3 linked regions of the Yarrowia lipolytica genome follow. The main gene of each other region encodes a partner of the protein of the gene in region 2 in a complex. Links are inferred from orthologs where the notes say so. Each region holds a gene or a part of one and is shown on either strand. Other genes may lie near its edges. The genes, in order: YALI1_E34870g, YALI1_D12750g and YALI1_B02881g.

Evidence for each region.
Region 1: YALI1_D12750g (region 2) and YALI1_E34870g share a complex: the UniProt entries of both Schizosaccharomyces pombe proteins name them as parts of the mitochondrial large ribosomal subunit. The link is inferred for Yarrowia lipolytica from reciprocal best matches to the Schizosaccharomyces pombe genes mrpl23 and rtc6.
Region 3: YALI1_D12750g (region 2) and YALI1_B02881g share a complex: the UniProt entries of both Schizosaccharomyces pombe proteins name them as parts of the mitochondrial large ribosomal subunit. The link is inferred for Yarrowia lipolytica from reciprocal best matches to the Schizosaccharomyces pombe genes mrpl23 and mrpl7.

The regions. Positions count from the first base shown.
Region 1 is NC_090774.1:3,486,048-3,487,973, forward strand, and holds YALI1_E34870g (uncharacterized protein), read left to right. Parts: upstream 1-928; coding exon 929-1,105; intron 1,106-1,192; coding exon 1,193-1,264; downstream 1,265-1,926. Other genes in the region: YALI1_E34880g (uncharacterized protein), read right to left, coding at 1,686-1,926. UniProt on the Schizosaccharomyces pombe protein: Component of the mitochondrial ribosome (mitoribosome), a dedicated translation machinery responsible for the synthesis of mitochondrial genome-encoded proteins, including at least some of the essential transmembrane subunits of the mitochondrial respiratory chain.
Region 2 is NC_090773.1:1,273,748-1,276,167, reverse strand, and holds YALI1_D12750g (mitochondrial 54S ribosomal protein uL13m), read right to left. Parts: upstream 1,111-2,420; coding exon 1,090-1,110; intron 1,015-1,089; coding exon 571-1,014; downstream 1-570. Other genes in the region: YALI1_D12760g (uncharacterized protein), read right to left, coding at 1-91. UniProt on the Schizosaccharomyces pombe protein: Component of the mitochondrial ribosome (mitoribosome), a dedicated translation machinery responsible for the synthesis of mitochondrial genome-encoded proteins, including at least some of the essential transmembrane subunits of the mitochondrial respiratory chain.
Region 3 is NC_090771.1:286,806-289,731, forward strand, and holds YALI1_B02881g (mitochondrial 54S ribosomal protein uL5m), read left to right. Parts: upstream 1-1,362; coding exon 1,363-2,256; downstream 2,257-2,926. Other genes in the region: YALI1_B02874g (uncharacterized protein), read right to left, coding at 1-608; YALI1_B02910g (uncharacterized protein), read right to left, coding at 2,531-2,926. UniProt on the Schizosaccharomyces pombe protein: Component of the mitochondrial ribosome (mitoribosome), a dedicated translation machinery responsible for the synthesis of mitochondrial genome-encoded proteins, including at least some of the essential transmembrane subunits of the mitochondrial respiratory chain.

The sequences.
Region 1 (1,926 bases), on a different chromosome or scaffold from region 2:
GGTTGTGTTGATGATTCCAATGACATTCTTTGTTTTGTAGATATGACAGCGCTAAAATCAATCAACAGGTTCAAACGGAGCTCTCTGTGCTCGTGTCTCCAACAAACGTGCAAGTATTTCTCAAAGCGCAATCTCGATAATCTCTCTGTCGAACTGTCATGGGACCAATAACTCCACTACTAAACGAGACAGTTGAAAAGTTTCGATCCTGTTGCTTTCACAAAACCATACTGATATCACACCACGAGGATGTGGCAGTTCCACCCAGTCTACATTAATTACACGTGCTACGAGTACCGGCAGCACAGTATGTACGAGTCGTTGATTGTTGTTAGATCAACCAAGCAAGTCCAATTGGGTATTTAACAATTACAAATTGCACAAACCCCTGCTCGGTATATTTCTTGGTCATTCAAAGGATACTATGGGCAAGATATCTCCACATGTAAGTTAGAGGTCTTACCCGATCGCGTTATCAAGGTCCCGTGGGTACCTAATTATATCCCCAAGCTCGAGTATTTGTTGCAATCACGAACTTAGCACGCGGCTGATGAGTGCTTTTCCGGTATAGCCCAGCAATATCATACCACTCACATACCCTAATGGTGAGTTAAGGCCGTGGAGAATTAAATCCGAGACATATGTTGGACAGCGTGATGAGTATGAATTACACCAGATTGTAGTCGGATTTTCGCTTAGTCCCGTCCATTTTTTTCACACTTCTCCGACTACTATTTCGAGTCATTCTTATGACATACGTACGGAAGTCTCTCGTGTGTGCCCACATGTTCCGTGCAGTCCCAAATATACATAACCCTGGTGGCTAAAGCTGGACCGTGGCGCCAAAAGTTTATATTGTTTGAAGTGCGAACTTTGAAAAATTCACACAACATAAAAGCGTTGCAAAGACCAGACAATCAAATTCGCAATGTTCAACGTCCTTCGATCCATTAGCCGAGTTCCGGCCATGATTACTCTTCAGCGACCCTCCCTGTTCCAGACCGCTGGCCAGGTGTCTCGACCGGCCGTGAATGCCGCTGCCGCCATCACCGTCCGAGGAATGAAGACCAAGTCTGCCGTGCGAAAGCGATGCCCCGACTGCTACGTAAGTATCCATCCACAAGAGTTTTTCGTGACACTGTTCACTAGGATCAAGTGATTCCGCCCCTTCTAGACACGTTACTAATATCAGATTGTCACTCGAAAGGGTCGAGTTTTCAACTACTGCAAGACCCACCCTCGACACAAGCAGCGACAGGGTTAAATGATGCTATTTATTGTAATTGTACATATTTCTGATTTACCAAGGGAGTGTGGGGGCGAAATTGCGTACACTGGTTTCGATGTGGACGGAGTGGATGTGTAGATAGGTACTGTATTCAGTTTGCCGCCTGATCGGATGGCCACAGAAGGACAGAAATTGGAGATCTTACAGAACATGTACCGTCAAAATAATAAATCAACGCTTACACATCTCAAAACTTCAACTCTTTCAAAAGTTCACTACTTGTACAATTGTAGTTGCTTAGCTACTCATTATCTGAGCACATACACTGCAGTACTGATTTATCATCTCTATACATTGCTCACTAGTTCTGCCAAGTTTGCTTACTTCATTGATCAATTGATCATAAATTATTCTATAATATTTTGCATGTACATGTGACTACTGTAGCACTCATGACTTAGTCAACCTCCACCACGGTAGGGCACTTGCCGCCGCAATGGGCAGCACCCTCACCTGCGACAGGGAAACCTCCAGAGACTCCGTAAAACTTCATCAAGATAGGGTTGGAAAAACTCTCAAGCTCCTTCTGCTTATCGGAGTATTCTTCACTGGCACTGGATTGTGTAGCATCTAAGAATTCGATGGTCTCGTTAATAGCCTTCTTGAGCTTCTCTCGGTCCGCTTCACAGACCTTCCCC
Region 2 (2,420 bases):
CCTCGTCGAACCGCTGGATGATTTTGTATTTCGGCTCGACCGACATTGGTGATGGTGATAATGAAGCGATTGGGTTGCAACTTAAACCCATGATGTGAGCAACCCGATTTTGAAAGAACCGAGTACATTGTGCCCTAGAACGAATGAGGATGAAAGGAATAGAGGGGTAGTATTATTAGACGCTGACTAATCGATTGCCCCTATCAAAATCTGTCTACTTCTCTTCTCTTGTATAATTAACTGCTTCTTGTTGTGTCCGTGCTCACGTATTACTAATACCCATCGTCTGAAGTCTGATCTGAGACGCTATAACATGTCAAACCATCCAGAGGCGATGATACTATAGTTGATAAGTACTGTATAGCAGGAACAGCAACAGAACCATTGTATGTTATTACAAATGCTCACGTGATACTTCAAACACCCCAGTTGGCTACAAGTTCCGGTACAAGTTCAAGGGATCACCTACTGCTCCTAAGCCCAGACCAGAGCTCCAACACACCCTATTCCGCCCCGTTTAAGTCATATCAACATTCTTATGCTCTATATACAAAGTTCCGTTTCCTCCATTTAATCCTTCTTGACCACAACGCCAGCCTCGTCATGGTAGGCCACGAGGTTCTGCTTGTAGGGATGCTCGGTGCCCTCAAAGACCTTGAGCCGGGCGATTCGGCCCCGCTTGAGCTTGTTTCGGGGCAGCATACCGGCAACGGTTCGTCGCAGAACCTCGCTGACTCCCTGGTTCTCAATCACTCGCTTGACAGCCACATGGTGAGAGTGACCAGGCTGAGACGACTGCACAAAGTATTCCTTCTGCTGCAGCTTGGAGCCCGAAAATCGCAGCTTGTCGGCGTTCACGACAACCACATAGTCGCCGCAGTCGTGGCCGGTGTTGTACACGGGCTTGTGTTTACCCTGGAGAGTCTGGGCGATGGAGGTGGCCAGTCGACCAAGGGTTCGCTGCTCCTTGGCCACGTCCACAAAGTGCCAGGTTCTGGAAAAAGCCAGACGTGCCTGGGTTAGTAAGAAAACAAGGGTATGTTGACGATTTGCTCAGAAGACACCTGCTTCCGCCGCTCAAATACTCACTTTACCAATAGTCTGTGACATGTTGATTCGTGATGGTGTGTGAAATTTTCGAACGTTAATTTGAGCGGGATGAGGGTTGTGGGAGGAGATGAGTAAGCAACTTTATTCGGGAGTATGGCGATAGACAGTAGTACAAGTACAAGTATGAATACGAGAGCTTCCAGGAGGAGATGAACTGAGAAATGAGCTGATGGCCTGTGAAGAAGCCCTTCTGATGCCACGTCATTGTTTTGTGGTCCAAATGAAGCTGTTGGAAGGAAAATGATCCTCATAGCTGGATCGATAACTTCAGGAGAGCTGAGAGATATAAAAGATGGATATTGATGGAATACATCGGGGTTCTGTTCTGAGTGCAATGGTATTGTTGTTGGTGTCTTTTGATTAGCTAATCACCAACTTATACTCCAGTCGGTCAGTTGTATTTGACGCCTTAAGATTGTCTGTTGATACATTTAGAACTGGGTCATGATCTCGACGGAGAATGGCAATCGATTTTTGTGAGATGGTTAAGTACTCATACTCGTACTCGTAATATGTTGGATTTCCTTTTTTTTTTTTTTTTTTTTTTTTTTTTTTGGTCAGGAAGAGTTGCAGGTTTCTTTTATGTTGGAGAGGGTCCGTCTTTTTTTAGAACCAAAAAATCCAGTTAATCGACCTTTTTTAAACCTGCCTTTGTGTGTTTTGTTGTTGGATTCTTATTTTAGAATATGGGGGAGGAAAAAAAAAAACGAGACAAACAAGCTAATATAAAAATATATATACTGTATATATATTGTTGTATATATACTGTAATGTATATATATAATATATACATAAAAAAATTGCAACCAGTCACCCCCTTTTAAATATCGGAATTTGTACCAGGCCAAGTCCACCTATCATCAGTGATTAATAGCACCAAATTAATTCTGACGCCTCAGAAATGCGGCCTCCATTTGGCTGGGTAAGACATTGGTGAGGCAGGAGAGGAGATGTTAGCCAAGGCGAGGGGAGAGGACACGGTTTTATGTGACGTACTGTACCCGAGGTGCCATGGGGGCTATCATGGAGGGTATAGAGGTTGTTTGAGTGGTCGCGTTAATGGTGGCGGGGTTCCTTCTCTATGTTTTTTCGTCGTATCTACTCCGAAATTGCTATATCATGGTCATTCTCACTGCCGCGTTAGTTCACAGGTGGGAGGTGTAGTTTTTCAGATTTTTTCAGATTTCGTCTTGTCTTTCTGCAGCAACGAAACGCCGAACAAGGGCCACCCAGAAACCCAGTTTACGTGCAGTTGGTCCGTCTAATCGGGAACGGTATCCGCAAGAGACAAGAGGCTGCGCCAAGTGATT
Region 3 (2,926 bases), on a different chromosome or scaffold from region 2:
AGCCGATCGTCTCCCATCCGAGACATAAACACAGACTCCCGTCGAGCCACGTCATTGTGTCGTTTGAGCTCCTCAGACGCCCACACGTCCTCCACATGTTGGAGTTCCTTCTCGACCTGAGCTAAAGGAGCTCCCCAATCAATGGCAGCCGCAGGGTCGACCGGGGAACCCAGAGACACACTGTTAACACTGGAACCCCGTCTATGACCCCGCTTGAAATTTCCAACGGGACTCAGATGACATTGATCAAGGATAAGTGACACCCGGTTCAATGTACCCTCCCACTCTGCACAAGACAGATCGTGGATAGAGCGATATGAGTCTTCTTTGACGTCCTGAGTCTCGTCTCTGTGCTCCTGCTTCAAAGGAGATGACACTGCCGGTTTCGTCGGCCGAGTCGGACTGTTCGAGGCACTGTACTCCGTTGCAAATCTCGACTGAGAAGGAGTCTTCCGAGGAGGCTTACTGGGTGTGCCTTCTTCCTCCAGAGACATCTCGTACTGACTGATTTCCTGCGACAGCTCCTCATCGTCCCATAGCGGGTCGTATCCGTCTTCGAAATTCGGAATCCGCGTCAACACCGCCGGTCTCAATGGGCTGAATTTCATGGTCCTGGATGTGTCTTGATGGATTCAGTCGGCTATACTTTTTTGATACATGCAACTTAGAATATGCAGACCGAGCTGTATGGAGGGTGAAGCAATGTGTCTTGAAACGATACTAGAAACAGTGCGATTGAAATGAGAGTAACATCAACTGGATCATAGACGTCACGTGATATTTTACATAATCTATGACTGTAAGATGACTAACTAACGACCTCTTTGATTACTAATTAACCGCCCACCCACATCCCACTTCACAGTCTTCCTTATCAAGCCCAAAACACAACTCCAATACTGCATTGTAATCACCGGACAAGAATGTGCACGCCAAAAAGTCATGTAGGCGTATATTTGGTACTTACTAGTGGACATCATTACTGCGCCAAAACAGGAGATAAAGAAGGGATATTACAAAGAATTTCACCATATACAGACTGCTATTCGACTGTTTATGTGTTTTCCTATTTTTCCCCGAGTTCTGGAGAGATTTTCAAGGCAGACCCAAATATTCACGCCAAATTGCTAATTCTGTGTATATTCTAGACCGGGTAGTTTTGTTCGGGAAATTTTCTATATTAGAAGTCAATGATGTTACCAATACAAAGCCCATGTCGGTTGATTACTACTAACTAGTACCCACGCCTTTTTTTACGGATAATCACTTGCGTTTTTCATCCCTGCTTACTAACTCCCAAAGTCAATAATTTTCACTCACCTTCTTGTGCTGCGTTACACATCACGACCCTCACAACTCACAATGTCCGTGGTCTTCACCCGCTCCTTCCACGCCTCTGCGGCCGTGTCTCGAGGCGCCAAGATCTCGATCAAGCCGCCGGTTCACCATCTTTACAGATACAAAAAGAACATTCTCAAGCCGGCTTTCACCAAGACTCTTTTGACCCACCCTGGATCGATTGAGTCCAACAAGTATGTGCCCAAGAACACCCGTGTTGACCGGGTTGTCGACCACTACAACAACACGGTCGCGTCAGACATGCTGCTGATGGGCTATGTCCACGAACAGTCCGTGCGAAAGGGAAATAAGCACCGACCATGGGACTTCACTTCGCCCTACCATCTTGGACGACCTGCTCAGCCCCCTCGAGGTCCCAACAAGACCCCCACCAAGGACGTGCACCCTCGAACCTGGAAGAACATCCCTGCCATCACCAAGATCACCATCAACTGCACAGACCCCGGCACTGTTCTTGACCACGAGAAGGTGATCAACCAGAAACTCCTGCTGCAGCAGATCACCGGCTGTGCTGCTAAGGAAGTCCGGTCCCGGTCTAATATCATGACCTGGAAGCTCCGAAAGGGCTACCCCATGGGCGCCAAAGTGGAGATTACCGGCGAGAAGATTTCCGACTTTATGACCTCGTTGACAGAGCTGGTTCTGCCTCGAGCCATTGGATTCAACGGAATTCGAAATTCGTCTGGAGATAGAAACGGAAACATCGCCTTTGGTCTGATCCCTGAGGACGTCAAGAACTTCCCCGAGGTCGAGGCCAACCAGGACGCCTACCTGCAGATGTACGGAATGCACATCACCATCCACACCACCGCCCAGGCTGATTCCGAGGCCCGAGCGTTGCTGTCGGCTTTCAACTTTCCTTTCATTGGAAAGGAGAAGCATCAGGGACGATCTTAAGCGCTAATGAATGGCCTTTGGTCGCGAGTGGACTCCATCCTATCGACGACCAGGTAAATACCGGACACCCAAAAGAGTACAGATTTGTATATAGTGAGCCATGAGGCTAATAAGATGATGAATTTGAAAACAGACAGAAATCTTGCGAGTACTGTACATACTCGTAGTGACAAAGGTCTGTTGTCATAAACATTGTAGCAAACCAGATCAATTATACATACTGTACAGTAGCTACTATACCATCAAATTACTCTACCATCAAATCACTGTACCATCAAATAACCACCAACGACAGGTTGCTGACATTTTCGTCACTAACACTGGCTTCTCTGATCTTTTCGACTTCAAGCTTCTTCGCAACTCCAGTATCTTCATCAAAGCTCTCAGAAAGACCCTCAATAACGACTCCCTTGCCAGTTTTGTCGCCATTATCTTCATTATCATTCACCAGCAGAATTCCGTTTCGCAGACAATCTCGCTTCTCGTCTCTCTTATAAAAGTACAAAATGACTACCGCCATAATCGCGCAACAACAGGCACAAGCTGCGCAAGTTCCGTATCCCTTTCTGAACCTGGGAGCTTCAGAAGTGGGGAATACAAGCACCGACACCCATGCTGATGAACTCTGGCCCAGCATATTCATCATGACAAGCACTATAGCGTAGTGTTG